4 linked regions of the Oryzias latipes genome follow. The protein of the gene in region 1 interacts with the protein of each later gene in a pairwise test. Links are inferred from orthologs where the notes say so. Each region holds a gene or a part of one and is shown on either strand. Other genes may lie near its edges.

The links.
Region 2: the proteins of NGFI-A-binding protein 2 (region 1) and PHD finger protein 1 interact in binary tests that used the Homo sapiens proteins (3 or more experiments, as listed by UniProt). The two-hybrid records come from large-scale screens. The link is inferred for Oryzias latipes from reciprocal best matches to the Homo sapiens genes NAB2 and PHF1.
Region 3: the proteins of NGFI-A-binding protein 2 (region 1) and rfc5 interact in binary tests that used the Homo sapiens proteins (3 or more experiments, as listed by UniProt). The link is inferred for Oryzias latipes from reciprocal best matches to the Homo sapiens genes NAB2 and RFC5.
Region 4: the proteins of NGFI-A-binding protein 2 (region 1) and pyridoxal phosphate phosphatase PHOSPHO2 interact in binary tests that used the Homo sapiens proteins (3 or more experiments, as listed by UniProt). The two-hybrid records come from large-scale screens. The link is inferred for Oryzias latipes from reciprocal best matches to the Homo sapiens genes NAB2 and PHOSPHO2.

What each region holds. Positions count from the first base shown.
Region 1 is NC_019863.2:27,732,564-27,736,791, reverse strand, and holds the end of NGFI-A-binding protein 2, read left to right. Parts: intron 1-25; coding exon 26-140; intron 141-215; coding exon 216-401; intron 402-2,049; coding exon 2,050-2,156; 3' UTR 2,157-3,372; downstream 3,373-4,228. UniProt on the Homo sapiens protein: Acts as a transcriptional repressor for zinc finger transcription factors EGR1 and EGR2. Isoform 2 lacks repression ability.
Region 2 is NC_019874.2:28,769,717-28,774,310, forward strand, and holds the start of PHD finger protein 1, read left to right. Parts: upstream 1-1,552; 5' UTR 1,553-3,718; intron 3,719-3,824; 5' UTR 3,825-3,975; intron 3,976-4,594. UniProt on the Homo sapiens protein: Polycomb group (PcG) that specifically binds histone H3 trimethylated at 'Lys-36' (H3K36me3) and recruits the PRC2 complex. Involved in DNA damage response and is recruited at double-strand breaks (DSBs).
Region 3 is NC_019867.2:3,442,130-3,446,542, reverse strand, and holds the start of rfc5 (replication factor C subunit 5), read right to left. Parts: upstream 3,043-4,413; 5' UTR 2,902-3,042; coding exon 2,855-2,901; intron 2,603-2,854; coding exon 2,538-2,602; intron 2,464-2,537; coding exon 2,327-2,463; intron 2,245-2,326; coding exon 2,165-2,244; intron 2,074-2,164; coding exon 2,000-2,073; intron 1,669-1,999; coding exon 1,509-1,668; intron 422-1,508; coding exon 340-421; intron 270-339; coding exon 140-269; intron 1-139. Other genes in the region: ksr2 (kinase suppressor of Ras 2), read left to right, coding at 4,394-4,413. UniProt on the Homo sapiens protein: Subunit of the replication factor C (RFC) complex which acts during elongation of primed DNA templates by DNA polymerases delta and epsilon, and is necessary for ATP-dependent loading of proliferating cell nuclear antigen (PCNA) onto primed DNA.
Region 4 is NC_019861.2:34,327,127-34,331,771, reverse strand, and holds the start of pyridoxal phosphate phosphatase PHOSPHO2, read left to right. Parts: upstream 1-1,603; 5' UTR 1,604-1,750; intron 1,751-3,071; 5' UTR 3,072-3,078; coding exon 3,079-3,149; intron 3,150-3,224; coding exon 3,225-3,319; intron 3,320-3,393; coding exon 3,394-3,962; 3' UTR 3,963-4,645. UniProt on the Homo sapiens protein: Phosphatase that has high activity toward pyridoxal 5'-phosphate (PLP).

The DNA.
Region 1 (4,228 bases):
GCTTCATCTGATGATGATTTCCAAGGTGATCGTGTCCGAGAGCGCATCCCCGCTCCTCGGAGCAGAGGGATCCGAGAGCTCCACCCACAGAGCGGATGATGACAGCTTGTCTGCAGAAAATCTAGACTGTGCACCTCATGGTAACGGCATGTTCACAAACAGGAGAAAATAACGTCGAAACTCCACTTTGAACTCAAATCTGTTCGTCCTGCTAGACGCCAGAACACAGAGCAACCACTCTCCATCACCACGACCCCTCACTGACACCTCCAACCCTGCCAGCTGGAGCCGCCATCTCATACAGCAGACCTTAATGGACGAAGGGCTGCGATTGGCCAGGATGGTGTCACATGATCGAGCAGGAAAGCTGGGTCTTGGGTTAGAAGGTCCTCACACAACAGGTGACTTTTCAAAATTTGGTTTTACCTATAAAGGACTCAGAATAAATGTGTATAAACCCAGAGAACTACGAGCAATTTTCTTCTGGATTTTTAAAGTTAATATGACCTTTGTTTTTTTTTTGCTTAATTATTTTGAATAGCAGCAATAAGCAAAAAAACAAACTGGGGCTAAATACGACCCAGGGTTAAATATTTCCATGTTGTTTAAGAAATGAAGTTATGGCCGACAAATGTGAACAAAAACATGAATCATATGATCTAATACACATGAAATAAACGGTATTTCTAAAATGTCAAGGCGGGTTGAATACTAAAGGTGGTTCAGGTGAAGCAGGTTTACTCTGACAGACAGGCCGACCTTTCTAAACAATGTTTATTTAGTAGTTGTGCAGTTTCAGGCTCAGTGAGTCACAATCTCTCTGAGGTGACACCTCCCACCACGGGCAGCTGAACTCCACCAGACTGTAAATTAGAGGATATTTTCTATGGAGGGGGGGCAAGAGGAGGTGGAGAAAAAAAGAGTGTGACAAGCAGGATAGAAAGAGTAAGGGGGGGGGGGGGGGTGTTACACTGTAATAGCAGCTCTTGGGGCGGCTGTTACTTCAGTGCAGCATCACAGAAAAGTGAACGTTTGGAGGAAGTTGTTCTGGGCTGAAGAGATGCAGTGAAGAAGGCACAGACGTTAAAGGAAGGGGGGGTAGGAAGTACTCTGTGGGCGACAGAATTACCCCCCCCTCCCCATCCTTCACCATGTGATTGACGTCAGAGTGTGTTAGGCGCGTGGGCTGAAGGGCGGGAGGGATGGGGCGTGGGGGCGACGGAGTGGGCGGTAATTGGAGGGGCGTTGCATTGACTCACCAAGCGACAGCGTACAAAAATAAAACCCGTGGGCAGAAAAATGGCACATTCTTCCTTATACGTCTTCTTCTACCTAAAGAACTGTGGAAATAAAATAAAACTGACATATGCTTCATCTTTGGCATCCATCTGCCTGCCTCCCTGTCAGGTTTCGGTCACCTCATCACCCCTTCAAGTTTCTATCGTTTATCTGAACTTTTTCCTTCCAACGTCACTTTTTCCAGCCAAAAAAATGTCTTTTATCTTCCTATATTTTATATTTTTATCTTTAGAAGCTTTGACTTTTGTTTTAAATGTTTTTGTTGATGTCAGCAAGAGAACATGTGTTTTAAACAGGAACTTTCAGAATAAAATAAAGGGAAGTAATAACTTTTGGTGCAGTTTGATCCAAAACAGTGAAATACTTGTAAAAAATGTGTTTTTATTTCTTGATGCTCATGCAGTGAAATGACAGACATTGTTTGTAAATGCACACTCAAACATCCGCGTTTGCTTAATTAATGGTTTTCCTGCTTGATCATCCAAAGATTCATTTAACTCTGCAATAAGGGAAGCAGTTAGTTATGCTGTTTGTGTAAACAGTGATTTCACTTCGTGTAGGAGTTCTTCCTGTTCTTTCACCCAAACCATCTTTCAGAGCTCCTAAAATACGGGTTACGTCCTGATTACCTCTGAACTGGCACTTATCCTCTTCCTCCCGGGGGTTCATTCGGTCCCCTTCGTCACAGCAGATTTCCACATTGATCAGGTCTTTGACATTAATTGTCCTTTCTATTCTTGAAATCTTTAGACCATGACAGTAAACCGGAGCGGCAGAGTTTGTTAACGGCGTGTAGGAGCAGTAGCCCCTGTGTCACCAAAGACTCACCCACCAGCTGCCACCCCCGGGGGAAATGAAGCGCTCTGCACTCATCGGGGAACTTGTGTTTGGGCGTCCACTCTAATCCCGCCGTCCCACGGAGAGGTGCAACTCGTCCTTCGCCGACGTGCGGCGGACAGGGGCTTTCAATTCAAGTCAAAACAGTAAATGTGAGAATTTACCAGCATCACATGTTGTTGACAAATGATGCAAATTTGATGTTTTAATATGTAGAAGGATAGTAAACACTTATCAGGTTTGAGTTCACTAATTTAGCCATTCAAAGAGGGAATCGTAGACGTTTGGCGGTTCCAGCTGCTCGACACGACACCGAAAGGTTTTTCAGTCACTTTCAGCATGTAACTTGTAATGTCTTTACTCTCAGGAAACACATTGATGTTCTGTTCTTGTTAGAGGTCAGTGTAGTGAGCTCAGGTTAATCTATGTAGTCATTTAGAAAAAGAAGTATTTGGACCAGACATATAAAAAACAGCACAAAGATCAGAGGTTTTTGGTTCTGCACTTGCCTTTTCAAACACACTTAGGTTAATAAAATTGCCAGGCCATCCTTCCTTTTCACGGTCGTTTTACTCCCATCTTCAGTTAAACCAGGGATGTCCAAACCTTTTGCAAAGAGGGCCAACAATTCACCCTGAACGATTTTAATAACTTTAAATGCAAATTAACTATTTATGAATATTTTATTGCATTGGCATACTTTCCATTTCTTCATATTGAAAAGAAAACACATCTAGATAGGTTTTTACCTAAATTACTGCCAATTTGTCCACTTTTGGCACAGTTTATTCCCAATTAGCTTGTTGTAGATAGCATAGTTAGTCCCTTTTCATATTGAACCCCTTGACAACAGTCACAGTCTCTTGGTATATTAGCCACACACGGTTGTTTCATATTTCACAAAATTTTTTTGCTAATTTCCCGTCTGACTGGAAGTCGTGTCCCTCACCGTCAACTTTTAAAAGAATGTAGAATTGACATTTTAGAAATAATTAGAAGGTGTCACAGAAGGGTCCCACCACAGTACCCCAACCAGTTTACAACGGGTTACAACTAATTTAGCCGACCACAATCAAGAAAGTTTTTTGAAAATATTATTGAGTTTATGACAGGAGCATGTGTTTGGCTTAAGGGTTGGACTTTGGACATGCCTGACTTAATCAAAGTGGGTTTTTTTCTTAGAAAACTATCTACTGCTTCTTGTTTAACCCTTGTGCTATCCTAGGCACTTTAACATTGGGCGTTGGGTCATCTAGATCAGTGTTTTTCAACCTTTTCTGAGCCACGGCACACTTTAACCTTAAAAAAATCCCGCGGCACACCAGCATCCAAAAAAAAAAAAAAAGGAGAAACTCAGTCTATATTGATCTACAACCCCTCCCTCCACAGTCTCACATGCATTTTTGAGATAATTGTTGCAGAAAAAGCTGGAAACTGCAGCTGTTTTTTTCTAAAAGATGCAATAAAAGTTAAGTTAGAAGATTTAAAAACAGTTTGAAGTGTGTTCGTTGGTTTCAAGACGTTTAACAACAGATATCCTTGTGCTCACAACCCAATGCATCATGGGAGATGTAGTGCATAAAACGGCCGGCGGAGATCGCTTTTCGGAGCTTCATTGTTTTGTTCACTTGTTCCACGGTCTGATACCGGACTCTGTGGAAAGCTACACCGCTAAAGACGAGCTTTAGCTGGTATTTTTGTTAGAACTGAGCGACTTTACGAGCTAGATCGGGACAAGGAAGTGAAGACTTTAACCACTTCTGATTGGTCAGACTGATGACATGTGATTAAGCTCCCCAAGAATGATTGGTGGAGACAGTTAAAGCAACGGGACTATTCCAAAAAACAGCCGGAGCTGCAGCTGAATCGTGGTAACGTCATTCTTATCAAAATGTCTTTAATAAAATTAAAAAAGAAACGCAAAGAAAAAGTATTTTACGATCTTTTATATTCCTAACTCCTCAGTGTTTTATCAGGGCCTGTTTGGATGAACAGAGAGCTGAAATCCTGGAGATGGGAAATGTTGTTAAATCAGTTAATGAGGGCAATCTCCCACGGCACACTAGTGTGCCGCGGCACACTGGTTGAAAAA
Region 2 (4,594 bases), on another chromosome or scaffold:
TAAAGTAAAGCAACACAAGATAATTTATTGTCCCCTGGCCGATGGTTTAGTGCTGAATATCAGGCCTCTGCTGACTGGCATGCATTCTTGTGTCAGGCCTGGTTCCCTCAGCACTGGTAACTCAAAGCATAACATCAAATTAATGAAGCAAATTATAATAAAGTAAGCTGAAACGTGTTAATCAATTTTATGTTCAAATGTGTGTGTGAAAAAGAAATCTAAAAGTATATGCGAAAAGATATAGTGAACGGATATATGTAGGGTGCGGTGCAGGAGGTTACTGCTCTGATGGGGTGGCAGCGTAGGCAGCCATCACACACTTCCTGCAGCTCCCCTGGGAGAATCCCAAGGCGAGCAGAGAGACGTAGTCCCTCAAACGTGTCCTGGGTCTTTCCCAGGTCTCCGCCCAGTGGGAAATGCCCGGAACACCTCCCCAGGGAGGAGTCCAGGAGACATCTGGATGCTTTTGGTTTTAAGCAGCTTTGAATGGGCTTGGTTGATTTCAACTTGTTAAAAAAATTCTCTTCAAATTGTAAAGCAAAGTGGTTTCAGTGAACAAAAAACCTTTGAAGTACATTTGACTTGAATGATTGACATCAGAGAGGAAAACCATGATCCGTGTTTTACCATCAACATTTAAAGCTCAACACTGTCTAATGTGGTTTTGTAATATCCAAAACATACAATATATAGTGTGTCTCATTCAAAAAAATATGTGTGAGTGAGTGTAAATTAAGCAGTTTTATAATTTTTAGATTCATATTCTTGTTGTTTTTTTTTTGTTTTATAAATTTCACTCACAGATTTCTGCAAAAGCTCCACACCAACCATGAAAAGTTATTAATTTTTAGGCAAAGTTAATAATCTAAATATTTTCATTCATGCAACCAATTTGAGAACAGCTTTTACTTTGAAAGACCTGTCACAGAGGCCATCAGTTCTACAGATTACAGCATCTACTGACTTATTCTGCGTTTACCAGAACAACAGGTTGGTTTTTAGTCTTCCTGAAGGGGCTATTTTTCATTTTTGTTAAATCAAACTCAAGGATTCAGCAGCAACTTTTGACAATATCACCAACCTGAAGGAACACACCGTGTCCGTCATTGACTACATTAAGAAATGTGTGGATGATGTGACAGTGGTCAAGACCGTCAGGAAGAAATCAAATTGCAAACCATGACTAACAGGAGACGTTTGTTCCTTGTTGAGAGCTTGGAACATGGCTTTTAAATAAGGAGATGCAGCAGCGTACAGTCTGGCAAGGACGAACCTGTCACAGGGGATTAGAGGGGCAAAGAAGCTGTACACACAAAAACTGAACAGCCACTTCATGTGTGAGAAAGAGACAATATGCCGGAACAACCGCCCTTTACCCCTTGTGCTATCCCATGGGGTCCAGATGACCCCACCCTTACATTGACGTGTTCTCCCTACCATGACAAAGGTGGATAAAGGCAGAAAGATTTCATGTAATCCATGGACACCAGTCGAGATCACAAATTTAGCGCACTGTCTTGTGGGGTCTAGATGACCCCACTACCAATGTTAAAGTGCCAAGGATAGCACAAGGGTTACCAGAGGAACTGAACAACTTCTACGCATGGTTTGATGTTTACAGCACCATCCAGGCACAGATGCTGCTGCTGTGATCCAGCAACACAGCATTACAGCCATCAACCGCAAAGCGGCTGGCCCGGACAACATCCCTGGACAGGCTCTGAAAGACTGCATGGAGCAATTGAAAGATTTATTCAGCGAGATCTTTAACACATCACTCAGACAGGAATTTATACCCACCTGTCTTTAAACTGCTGTCATTACTCCAGTCCCAAAGATGTCTGATCCAAACGTATTTTGCCCCGTGGCCTTCACACCCATTGTGACCAAATGTCTTGTGCGCTTGGTTCTGAAGCACATCAAGAAGAGTCTTCCAATAAATATGGACCCTTTACAACTTGCATCTTCAGTAAATAGATTTACTGAAGATGCCATCTCCACTGCTCTCCACCTGATCCTGTCACATCTGGAGAGGAAAAACACCTATGCTAGAGTCCTCTTCATCGACTTCAGCTCGGCTTTTAACACCATCATTCCACAGCAACTGGTGGAGAAGCTGAAGGCAATCTGCAATTGGATGCTGAGTTTACTGACAGACGGGCTGCAGACAGTCAAGATCAACACACACATCAAGGCCCATGTCATCGAGCACAGGCACACCACAAGGGTGTGTCCTGAGCCCACTGCTGTTCAGTCTGCTCACGCATGACTGCACAGCTAGGTACAGCACCAACCACATTGTCAAATTTACGGACGGCACAACAGTAATTGGTCTCATAAACGACAATGATGAGTCTGCTTACAGAATGGAGGTGGGGCAGCTAGCAGTGTGGTGTGAATGACATAATCTCCAGATCAATGGTGATCGACTTCAGGGCATCTGGCAATTACCACAACACACATCCGACCATAAATGGTGTTGCTGTGGAGAAGTTCCTGGGGGTGCATCTCACTCCAACTCCACTCCTCCAACTCCAAAATGACCACCAGAAAAGCACAAAAGCCTCCATCCCCTCCAGAGACTCAAGAAGGCAGGAATTCCAACACCTCGCCTCATCACCTTCTACAACGGCACCAATGAAAACGTGTTGACACAGAGCCTTACATGCTGGTTTGGCAGCTGCAAGGTTCAGGACCAACAACCGGTCAGCGAGATTGTTGGAGCCCATACCACCATACGCAGAGTAAGCTTCCTCATTAGGGACCCTCCGCTTCTCTGTCATGGGGTGTTCTTCCTTATGCCATCTGGGAAAAGGTTCAAGAGTATCAGCAGCAGATCCAGCGGGATAGTAAAATCTTCTTTTCACAAGCAGTGAGACTGCTACATAGACTGTCCTCCTCCTGCATACATGCTCTCACAAACTCCACACCGCAATCAGACCCAATAAACTACCCCCACCCTCTGCACCACCCAAAGACACAATATATACTGCTGCTAAATGCAGATACTAACTTTAAGGATTGAATGCTGGTTTCTATTTTTTTGACATTTTATTTTAGTTGATTGCTATTTTATTCTATTTTATTGCTATATTTTCTTTTGCACTGTCATATTAGTGAGGAAAAACATCTGGTCTCACCTGTGTATTCCTCTGCAAATACTATGAGTGAAATAAATGACAATACATTAATCTGGAATTCAAGCATTCAAGGATTTTATTTGGTATTATTTAACCACAGGGTGAATTCAAATTTGTTGATCTGGTCCCAGCCAATTAAAGTGGAAATATGCCAAGTAGAAAACAACAAGAAATGTATATATAAATCCCTTACATCGGTAACATGAGTACAGATCCTATCGAATATTGGATAAATGTAGTATTGTGGCACTTTACTGGGACTTTCACAAAAAGATGCAAGAACAGAAATCAACAATTAAACCACAGCAGGAAAATGACATGTTAATAAAAAAACAATGCAACTTGGTAAGAAGAAAAACAATTGATAAGATGCCAAACAAGAGCTTTAAACTCAGGGTGAAATGAACTAGTGTTGACTTATCAAACACAAACTCACAGCTGGTTCCTGGATACTTCCTTCCTTCCTGGTCCAGGAAATACCAGGAACAAGGACTTTGAGCTAAGAAAAGTAGAGGAGAAGAAAGTCATCTGAGAAAAGAGCTCTGCGAGGTTCACACTCGGAAATCCCAAAATGCCAGGTGATCTAGAATAATCCAGCCTTGATTGGTAAATCTGGAGAATTACACAAACACATTTAAAAAATGTTGCTGCAACTAAAAGGCTCCATTCTTTGGTAATCCCCAGGTTCCGCACAGCGACTCCAAAGTAATCAGGATGTTTGAAATGATGAAGAACTCTGATTTCCTGGCTCCTCACAGCAGGAGTTGATATCAAAACAGAGCAGACGAACGGTCCAATTCTTCAGTGAAAAGGATTGGAGTTTTGGAAAAGTGAGGTAAAAACATTCCACGTTCCAGGATTGAATGCAGACTGGTGCTACAGAGAAAAGGGAAAAACTCAAGGACTTTCCAGTTTGGGTTTACTGGTTGCTCTCCGGAGCTTCTGTCAAAGCTGTCCTGTGATGCAGCAGCAGCTGGTAGTACAACGCCCCCCGGTGGTCTCACGTGGGAAATCTGCCTTTAATCTGCCAGGGGCCATTTTGAAGCAGAGATAACACGTCTGACTGGTGGGAGTCAAGTGTGAGACACAAACAAGGAGGAAGCCAAAACACAGATAGATACACTAAATGATGAAAAAGCCTCCTAACCTGAAATGTATCTTTCCTAAAAATTAGTTTTAAACATTTGAATTGTTCCTGTTTAAACAATTGACTCTTTAATTAAAGTATGCATATAAATGAGAGTTACAGACTATTTTTGCTTCAAAATAGAAAAGCATTAAAAAGGGGAGGAGCAGAAAGTGAATACAACACAATCATTTTTTTTTACTTGTATTAGATTTGAAGCAATTGACATAATTTCAACAAGATTATTAGAAAACCGTTTATTTGCTTTATGGAATATTATTCCAGTATTTCAGCAATAAAACTCCGTTTTATTGCTGAAATGTGTCTG
Region 3 (4,413 bases), on another chromosome or scaffold:
AAGGAATTCGGACACGACCATAGTCCGACGTTAAACGTTGGAGGCCAAAAAAGGTTTGGGATCACTGATCTAACGGATGAAAGTCTAGATTTCTAAAAGAGCGGTTCCAGCTCTGTATGTGGGTTTGATGGAAGGATACGTTTGTAAGCCGAGGTGAAGTCTTTGTTGAGGCACCAGTCGAGGATGTTAGCGATGTCCGAGCGGAGCGGCTGTCCCGTGCAGGTGTACACGGAGTCCTCCGTCACCTTCCCGTACGCCATGCTGGTGCTCTGAAAGGACACGAAAAGTCTTTCCTCTCTGCTGGAGAACATCCCGGCAGGAGGAGTGAGGAGGTCCCACCTGCAGGACGTTCAGCGACCTCCTCATGTCGCCGGACGATAAAGTCACGATGGCCTTCATCCCATCCTCGGTGATGTCGATGCTACCAGACAAGATTCAGCTCATTAAAGGCCAAAAGGAAGTTTAAAGAGGAAAATTATTATGATCAGCGCTATGCATTTAAAGCTTATTTTTACAGATAAATCCTGTACTAGACGTCTGCATCTCATGGACGGATCACAACATCTTATTGCCCTAAAACGCAGCAAAAACATGGCACTAGCTTGAGCGGGAGGCGCACAAACACAGTTTGGTAAAGTCTGAAGGATATTTGGACTTCTAGGTTTCAAAATTCTTTTAATTAACATTTGAAACTGACAGCAAGTGTCTCTATTGGTTTGTCTTAACGTAAACGATGACCTTTAAAGAAAAATGCGATGTGTTTTTCAAATACGGAGAATTAAAGAGAGAAACGGCAGTGAAAAGAGCTGCTAAGGGACCGTCTACAAAAAGAAAGCTCTGTGAAAAAGTGATCAGAAGATAATAAACTCTCAAAAACAACACAAATACATAAATGGTTCTGTTTATATAAGTTAAGTCATAAATACTCATCATATTCATGCCTTTTAAAAAAATGGGTATTTCTTTTTCCCAAAGTAAAAAAAAAAAAATCACATCTGATCCAAAAAGCTCTGAAGAGCCAAAGCTACAGTCACCAAACTTTCTCACATGACTAATTATCAACTATTTTTACCAGTTAATAGTTTGTTATTTTTTCTAGTTGATGGTTGCACTATTTGTACTTAATTGTTCACAGAGGTGCTCTTTTTCTGACAAAATAAAGGGGGAATAGAATAAAAACGGGAAAACCTGCATTTGTTTATTCAACTTTTAAAATGTGTTATAAAAGTATTGGAGCGAGACTCGGGTATCAGCATAAAAAAACGTGAAATCGGATCAAAAAAAGAAAAAAAGAAAACTGAGAGATTCTTAATGAAAAGCTTAAAAAGCGATGAATGCGAATGGCAGAAACGAGAATGTAAAGTTTTTCATTCCATTTATAGTCCTAATTTTTCAAAAATCCTTTGAAAGCATCTTTTCATGTCAACATCACAGTCGTTTTTAATGCTTCTGACAGACTCAGAAAGTGAGAGACTTCAGAGGCCGAAAGCGGTCCCGGTTTTCCTCACCTCTCCTCCTGAATGACGTGCCTCAGCCGGGGGATCATCTGGTCCGCCGACAGAGGCCCGAAGCGGAACCTGGTGCACCGGGACTGCAGGGCGGGGATGATCTTGGAAAGGTAGTTGCAGATGAGGCAGAACCGGGTGTTTTCTGTGAACTTCTCAATCACTGAGGCGTACGGGAGACAGCAGGAAGTTTACAAAAATAAAAAGACAGACTGTTACCTGCCAAAACGTTAGTTCAATGGGATAAAGTTACTTAAAATCGTCTTATTTTGAAAATCTGCAAACATCTTAATTCGTTTATGAGATCGTTGACGATAACCTACTTTCAACACCTATGAAAAAAAAAATTTTAATCAACAAAATCAATGCAAAGGATTATTTTAGAAAACGGTTGTGTTTTCATGCAGACCCATGCATCATCAGCCAAATGATTTGGCTGCCCAGTGAGCCGTGTCGCTCACAGCAAGCCATACTTAGGCGAACAGATGGCTCACCTCGCCGCAATGCATTCTGGGCATCCTGGGTCATGGCATCGGCCTCGTCCAGGATCACCAGCTTGAAGCCTTTCCTGGGGATCAAAGGGAGGAAAAAGGAGTTTGGAGTTGTCTGGAGGGAATCTCTGCAGAAGGTCACAGAGAGCTGGAGCGGTACCGACTCACTTGAAGATGGTTCTGGTGCTGGCAAAACTCAGGATGGGACCTCGGACCACATCGATACCCCTGTCGTCTGAAGCATTCAGCTTGAACAGAAGAGAATCAGAATCAGGACCCTTGGAGATGAGAAAATCCCTGCAGACTAAAGATCCTGAGTGGAGACGGTACCTCCAGCACCATGGAGTTGAACTCCTTGTCCTTGTACAGTTGCCGGGCACAGGCCAGAATGGTGGAGGTCTTTCCGGTTCCAGGAGGCCCGTAGAGCAGGAGGTGAGGAAGCCGGTCCTCTCTGACGAACCTCTGGACTGAAGAGACATGGAGACCTTCAGAACTCTGGACACCACAGAGTCGATTTGCTTCCTTAAATGAACAAACTTACTGGTGCTCAGGATGTCTCTGTGTGAAATTAAATCATCGAGTTTTTGTGGTCTATATTTTTCTACCCTGAAATGCAAAACAAACACTTTTAGCACAAAAACAAAGACGTTGTTTAGTAGAATATTTCTTTTTTTCCCTTCTTTTTAAGAAGTGTGTAGGCCTTTAAAAAGCTGAACAAACTTAAAAGAAAACAAAACAAAAAAAAAAAGCACAGCCTCTGACTGGAGACAAACAAGAACTTGAAGGAGCAGCTAGCTTAGTCTTAGACAACAACGACATTCTCGCCGCTTCTCAAACGTCTCGTTCGTCGCGGCTCACCATGGCAGGTTTCTGCTCTGTAACGGGGTCCTACTCGTAGACGCCATGACTCCCGGTAACTTTATTTATTAGCCGGGCAAGTAGAGGAAAAACCCCGTCTGTTCTATGTCGCTTCCTTTTGCCGCGCTCGCGACAGAAACGCACGCCAACGTCATGACGTAACACCAACAGAATGTCGTTTTGCTTTCCGGTGGGTGGGATCATGGTGATATGTTGAAGGTAAACTGTAAAAAAAACCACAATATCAATTGAAGAATTTTAATATTTTCTAAAGTAAAGCTTAAAATTGTTTTTTGTTTATTTTATAAACATTTTTGAGTTGATTATCTTGTAAAATAGAAATCTCTGTGTTAGTTTGATATTTATCCGTAGGCGAAAACATTTTTGACCGATTTTCTTGAACATTTCAGAACGAAAATTAATGTGCTGTGGAAATCAGACTAATTTTAAAGATTTGTATAAGACTTTAAAGCATTTAACAGGAAAAAAACAATATTTAATCCCCTGATGTACATACATTTCTATCTAACTTGTGCAATAAGTATTTCGTAAAATAGGTAAATTAAATTAATAGAAAAATACACAAGTTTCTTAATCTGTTTGGTTTTTAATACGTTTCATTTAGAATATACGCTTTAGACGTTAACTATTTAGCTACCTAACCAGGCGACAACCAAAAACAATAAATAAATAAGTAAAACATGCCCCCCCCCCCCCCATTATTTAATAACTTGGGTGAGTACACACAATAAATGTTTTAAAAAATGTTTTCAAATTTTGTTTAACCTTTTAGTTTAACAGGCACTTCGTTTGCATTTTAGTAAGATTGCTGAATTATGTTTAATTTGATGAAATATCACCCTGAAAAATAAAGATCATTTGTCGCAGATGATGCGTTTCTCGTCCAGCAGACGAGAACCCACTTGAGCGCGCCGTGATCACGCGAGAGCGGCCCCTTACGGCGGCGCTGCGATGCTGTTGCTGTGGCTTTGATTGACGGGAAACATGTCGGTGTGGTGGGAGCGAACCGGGATGCAGCTGCTGCCAAGGGAGACAGGGAGTACCTGCATCCAATCCGCACATCAGCACCTTTAAAACCGCCAGGTTCTACCCGATCCGGCTGTTTAGGATGCGCTGAGCAGCAAATTTGGTTCCTTTCCCCCCCTTTTTTTTCTCCCCCCCCCCCCCTTCCTCAGCATCCATTAGAACGGAAAGGACGCCCGATGGATGCTGTAGCAGACCGCTCAGCCCCGCTCCGCATCCTCACATTGAGTTTGGTCTAGTTTACATCCTTGATCATCCAGCTGGAGCTGCGAGGACTGTTGTTGCAATGGAGGCGACCCTCTCACGGCTCAAAGCCAGAGTCTAAGCCTGCAGCATCTCTTTCCACTGCGCTGTGCTGGTTGCTCTTTTCCGCGGGCTCCTCCACGTTTCTTTCTTGAATTATCCTCTTTTTTTAACCCTCTGTTCTTCTTCTTCTTTTTTTGTCTTGGAAATACAAACTAAGGGGAAAAAATACCATCCAGCGCGCGCTAAACTATGAACGAGGAGATGACAAA
Region 4 (4,645 bases), on another chromosome or scaffold:
CCATTCACACCTAGGGACAATTTAGATTTAGATTAACCTATGAAGCATGTTTTTGGACAGTGGGAGGAAGCTGGAGTCCCTCGAGAAAACCCACACATGCAAGGGGAGAACATGCAAACTCCACACAGTGTCAACAATGTCCCCTGTTGTTGTTGTTGTTGTTCTGTTTTCAGGTGCCCCAGGTGGGACTTGAACAGAGAGCCTTCTTGCTGTGAGGCAAGACTGCTAACCACTGCGCCACCTTGCAGCCCAACTTGGATAATGCTCTTAAGATTTTTGAATATTTGTTAGTTTAGAAGTTTAGGTTGAGTCTAAATGCTACAACATGTACATAGATTTTATCCTAATTTGATAAGATTTTTCTTACTGTTAGTGTTCATTGTTTATATCAGTGTTTATCGAAAGAAATTATTAGTCAAGGAAAGGTAAATTGACAGAACTCATTAAACAAGCATAGATAAGACTTATCCATATAAATATCACACAAACAGTAAAAAATATGTCAGTACACAAGACTGGAAAATTAAGGGGAAAATGCTTTAATTGATTCATTTTTGTAGCACATGATTTTTCAGCTTTGGTATACAGTTATAAAGGAAAAAATAGATATATTATGTGGGAAAAACACTATTTCTATCACATGCGACTTTTTAATTTCAATCCTAATATAGTGATGCTATCCAGTGCTTATTAAGTACAGCTTAACAGGGGTGTAATTATTTAAGTTTACTTCCTCCTTCTGATTTTCAAGCAATTAAACTCTTCCTGACACTCTTCACTTTTAATGAATGGAATGTGTCATGTACTGTATGGATGAATGCAAATTGATCTATTTAAGATTGAGAGTCAATATAATGGCATCATTTATATGTGTATCCTCTTTCACTTTTTAGTTTTTTACTTTCCAATTTGATTATGACTCATCATCTTAGGTTTGGTAATTCTATATGTTATATGCCGTGTATTTATATACTCTGATCCCTTGAAATAAGCCAGTTTCAACCCAAAAATTCAAAAGAAATTATTTTAGGATTGGCTTGAAGCAGATAACATGACAAGCAGATGTAAACAGGTAAAAAACCTAAATGTCCATCATCAGTCAGAGCTAAAGAAGCTATTCAGATCAGCTGCCAAACATAATCTAGATCAACTTTTAAGGCTACCAAAACATCTACTATTACTAAAAATAAACATTTCAATATAACGTTGAGACAAATTTAAATTTATAAATATGTTTAGTAACTTAAACAAAGATGGAGGTCACATTTAGTTGAGCAGGAATGGGATTATTTCAAAACACTGCAGCTCGGAAAAAAGAAAAAAGAAATCACAGAAGTAAAAAAAGTAAATAAACAAACACACAAACAAACAAACAAATAGATAAATAAAGTAATTAAAAAAATGTACATATCTATTGCCTAATAATTTGAATATAACTTTTTATTCACCGTTAGAACAAGCTGGACAAACTAAAACGGTGGTAATTTTGTATAATAGGATAATAAAATATTAGTAAATCCTTAGTAAAATAAAAACCAACAAGTTAACTGTAAATTTCGATAGATACACTTACAAAACACGTTTTTACATTGCATCAGAAATGTGAGCATCCGCAGAAAGGCCGTTGTGATTTATATTTAGTACTCATTGTGACCAGCAGGGGGCAGTAACTACAGCGCATCGATAAATCCAGTAGAAGAAGAAAAAAGCAGACGAAGAAGACGACAGTGACGGTTGGCTTCCGCGAGCGGTGAGTTTCTCGTTCCATAATTTTGAAGGCATTTTTGTCAATCTATTTAAAGTACAGTTTAGAAATGTCCACATAAATCCTCGGGTATTATATGCTAGACTGTTGACACAGAATGCTACAGGAATTATTAGCTAAAAATGAACCAAATCCAATGAAGAACACGCGCGAATCTAAAAGAAATACAGTAAAAAGAAAAAAAAACGATTATAAAAACAACATTTCTGCGATAATAGATGAACGACTTCTGTTTGTTTAATTCGGCGCGGAGAAATGAAGGATTGAGTGAAAATAAAGTAATTTTACAAGCTAATAAACAGTCATAATTCCTACAAATATAAATAATAATTTTTTAAAATTATAAAGTAAACCATGAGTGGTCACACGACAACATATTCACAAATAAAACTGCCACAATATGACAATAGAAAACAGCTTACAACAACATCTTAATTTAACCAAACTGTAATGTATTGAAATATGAGGTTAATCTTTGAAATCCCTCTGATTCAAAAGGCTTCAGGTCAAAGGTCACAGCAGACAAACAACTCCGTCCCGTCTCTGTTTTTATGTTTATTTATCTCCCAGTCAGACAATAGTAAGAAATAAAGCTGTGCAGACCTTCAGACTGAGAAGGAGCTGGACTACTGTGATGACGCACAGGCCCTATCAGGAAGAGATAAACAGACACAAGCCCACCCAGCTCCCCCACCCCAGACACGCCCACCCGCCTGTCCGTCAGCACGTCCGCGTCCTGAAATGATTTTGGGTTTGATCCGTGTACAGGAATCTCTGAACGTGTAGAAAATCGGGATTTTGACTTCTTTTCCGATCTTCACATTTAGGAAAGAAATCGTTTTTTGTTTGTTATTTTTAATCTAAAAGTCATTTGGATAAAGAAATCCTCAGAATAAACTCAGTTTTCTTTCTATACGTCATCATCATCAACGGAAAAATGCCACAAGGACAAGTTTAAAACAAGATTTTCATCAGAAAGGGTCCTTAAACTGTCCTTTATAAACCTGGAGTAAATACATTAAAACACACAAACCAAGAATTTAAAGCAAATATTGAACTTATACTGGTTTAAACGATAAGACATCGACATTCCTCAACAAACCAGAACATTATGAGCAAATTCAGATTCAGCCGATGGACTGGAACGTTTTTTATTTTAATGATGTATTTACAGGGCTCCGTAAGTTATTTTTTGGAAATGTGGGGAGTGTATAGCAGTTAAACATCTAATCGTGTTATTTTTTCTGTGTTTTTTACATAAACATTCATAAATACTTTTAAAAAATGCTGTTTTTGTGTGTTTCAGGGGGACAATGAGGTTCCTGATGGTGTTTGATTTCGACCACACTCTGGTGGATGAAAACAGCGACCTGTGGGTGGTCAGGTCGGTCACCAAAGGCTTCCTTTTCTGTAAACTGGAGGAGAACATTCTGTTTCATGATGTCTTCTTTGTCCTCAGGTGTCTTCCGGACGGGCGCCTTCCTGCCTCCATCGAGAATTCCCACCGGGGGGGTCTCTGGATGGAGTACATGTGCAGGGTGATGAAGTTCATCGGTGAGCGCCGGCCGTGCCGCTCGTCCGGCGCTCCGCGTCTTTGGTTTCTGACCTCGGCTTGTCTTTGCGCGCAGGAGATCAGGGTATCGGCCCGGACCGCATCCGGAGCGTGATGGAGACCATCCCCTTCGCCGACGGCATGGCGGACCTGCTGGCGTTTATTTCGGAGAACAAAAGCGCCGTGGACTGCATCGTCATCTCAGACGCCAACTCCTTGTTCATAAACTGGGTTCTGCAGGCTGCCGGGCTTGGCGAGGCGGTCGATAAAGTTTTCACCAACCCGGCGGCGTTCAACGAGGCGGGGCACATGGAGGTGCGCCGCCATCACTCTCACGACTGCAGCGAGTGCCCCCCCAACATCTGCAAGAGGAAGGTCTTGGAGCGGTACCTGTCCGAGCGGGCCGAGGAAGGCGTGCGGTACGAGCGCGTCTTCTACGTGGGCGACGGTAGCAACGACCTGTGCCCCTCCTTCTGCTTGAGAGCGCAGGACGCCGTGATGCCCCGCCGGGACTTCACGCTGCTGAAGCTGCTGGCCCGGCTGGAGGCCCAGCCGGGAGAGATCTCGGTGGCGGCCAAAGTGGTTCCCTGGAGCAGCGGCGCCGACGTCCTGCAGGAGCTCAAAGCAAGCATGCAGTCCGAATAACGGAGCAGAAGAAGTCCTGGAGGCAGCGCTCCGTCCAGAACCGAGCAGAAGAAGTCCTGGAAGAAGCGCTCCGTCCAGAACCGAGCAGAAGAAGTCCTGGAAGAAGCGCTCCGTCCAGAACTATGCTCTACAATTTGAAGCACATTTATTGTCGCCAGGTTCTGAGAAGGGATCATTTATTTGTTGGGAATTTTACATTTTTGACCAGCTGAGTGATCCGACTCTGAGTTTCCAGAGGGAAATTAGCTCTAAACAACCTTATGCTCATTTCTAGAAAGGATTGTTGCTTGAAAAGAGCTGATTTATTCAGTCTTCCTGCAGCTTCTAAAAAAAAAAAAAAAGAATTTTAGTTTTATGGGAAAAAAAATGATTAAAAAAGAAAAATGTAAATCAGAAAAAAAACTTTTTTTGACTTTTAAAATCAGCTTTTGCAGAATCAAAGATGGGAGCAGACAAACTTAAAATACTACCATCAAATCTAAACCTAGAGAACCTTCTGGAACCATGTTCTTCTGCAGAGAAGTTTACTTTCACGTTTCATTTGATGATGTATTCAAAAAGATTTTAACATGAGTTTGAATTTTACAGAAAAAAAGGGATTCTCCTCCTTCAATACTAGTTTTCATGTCAGACTTTTGACAGAGCTGCAGCTGCACTTTAAACGGGAACATTTGGTCACTGTT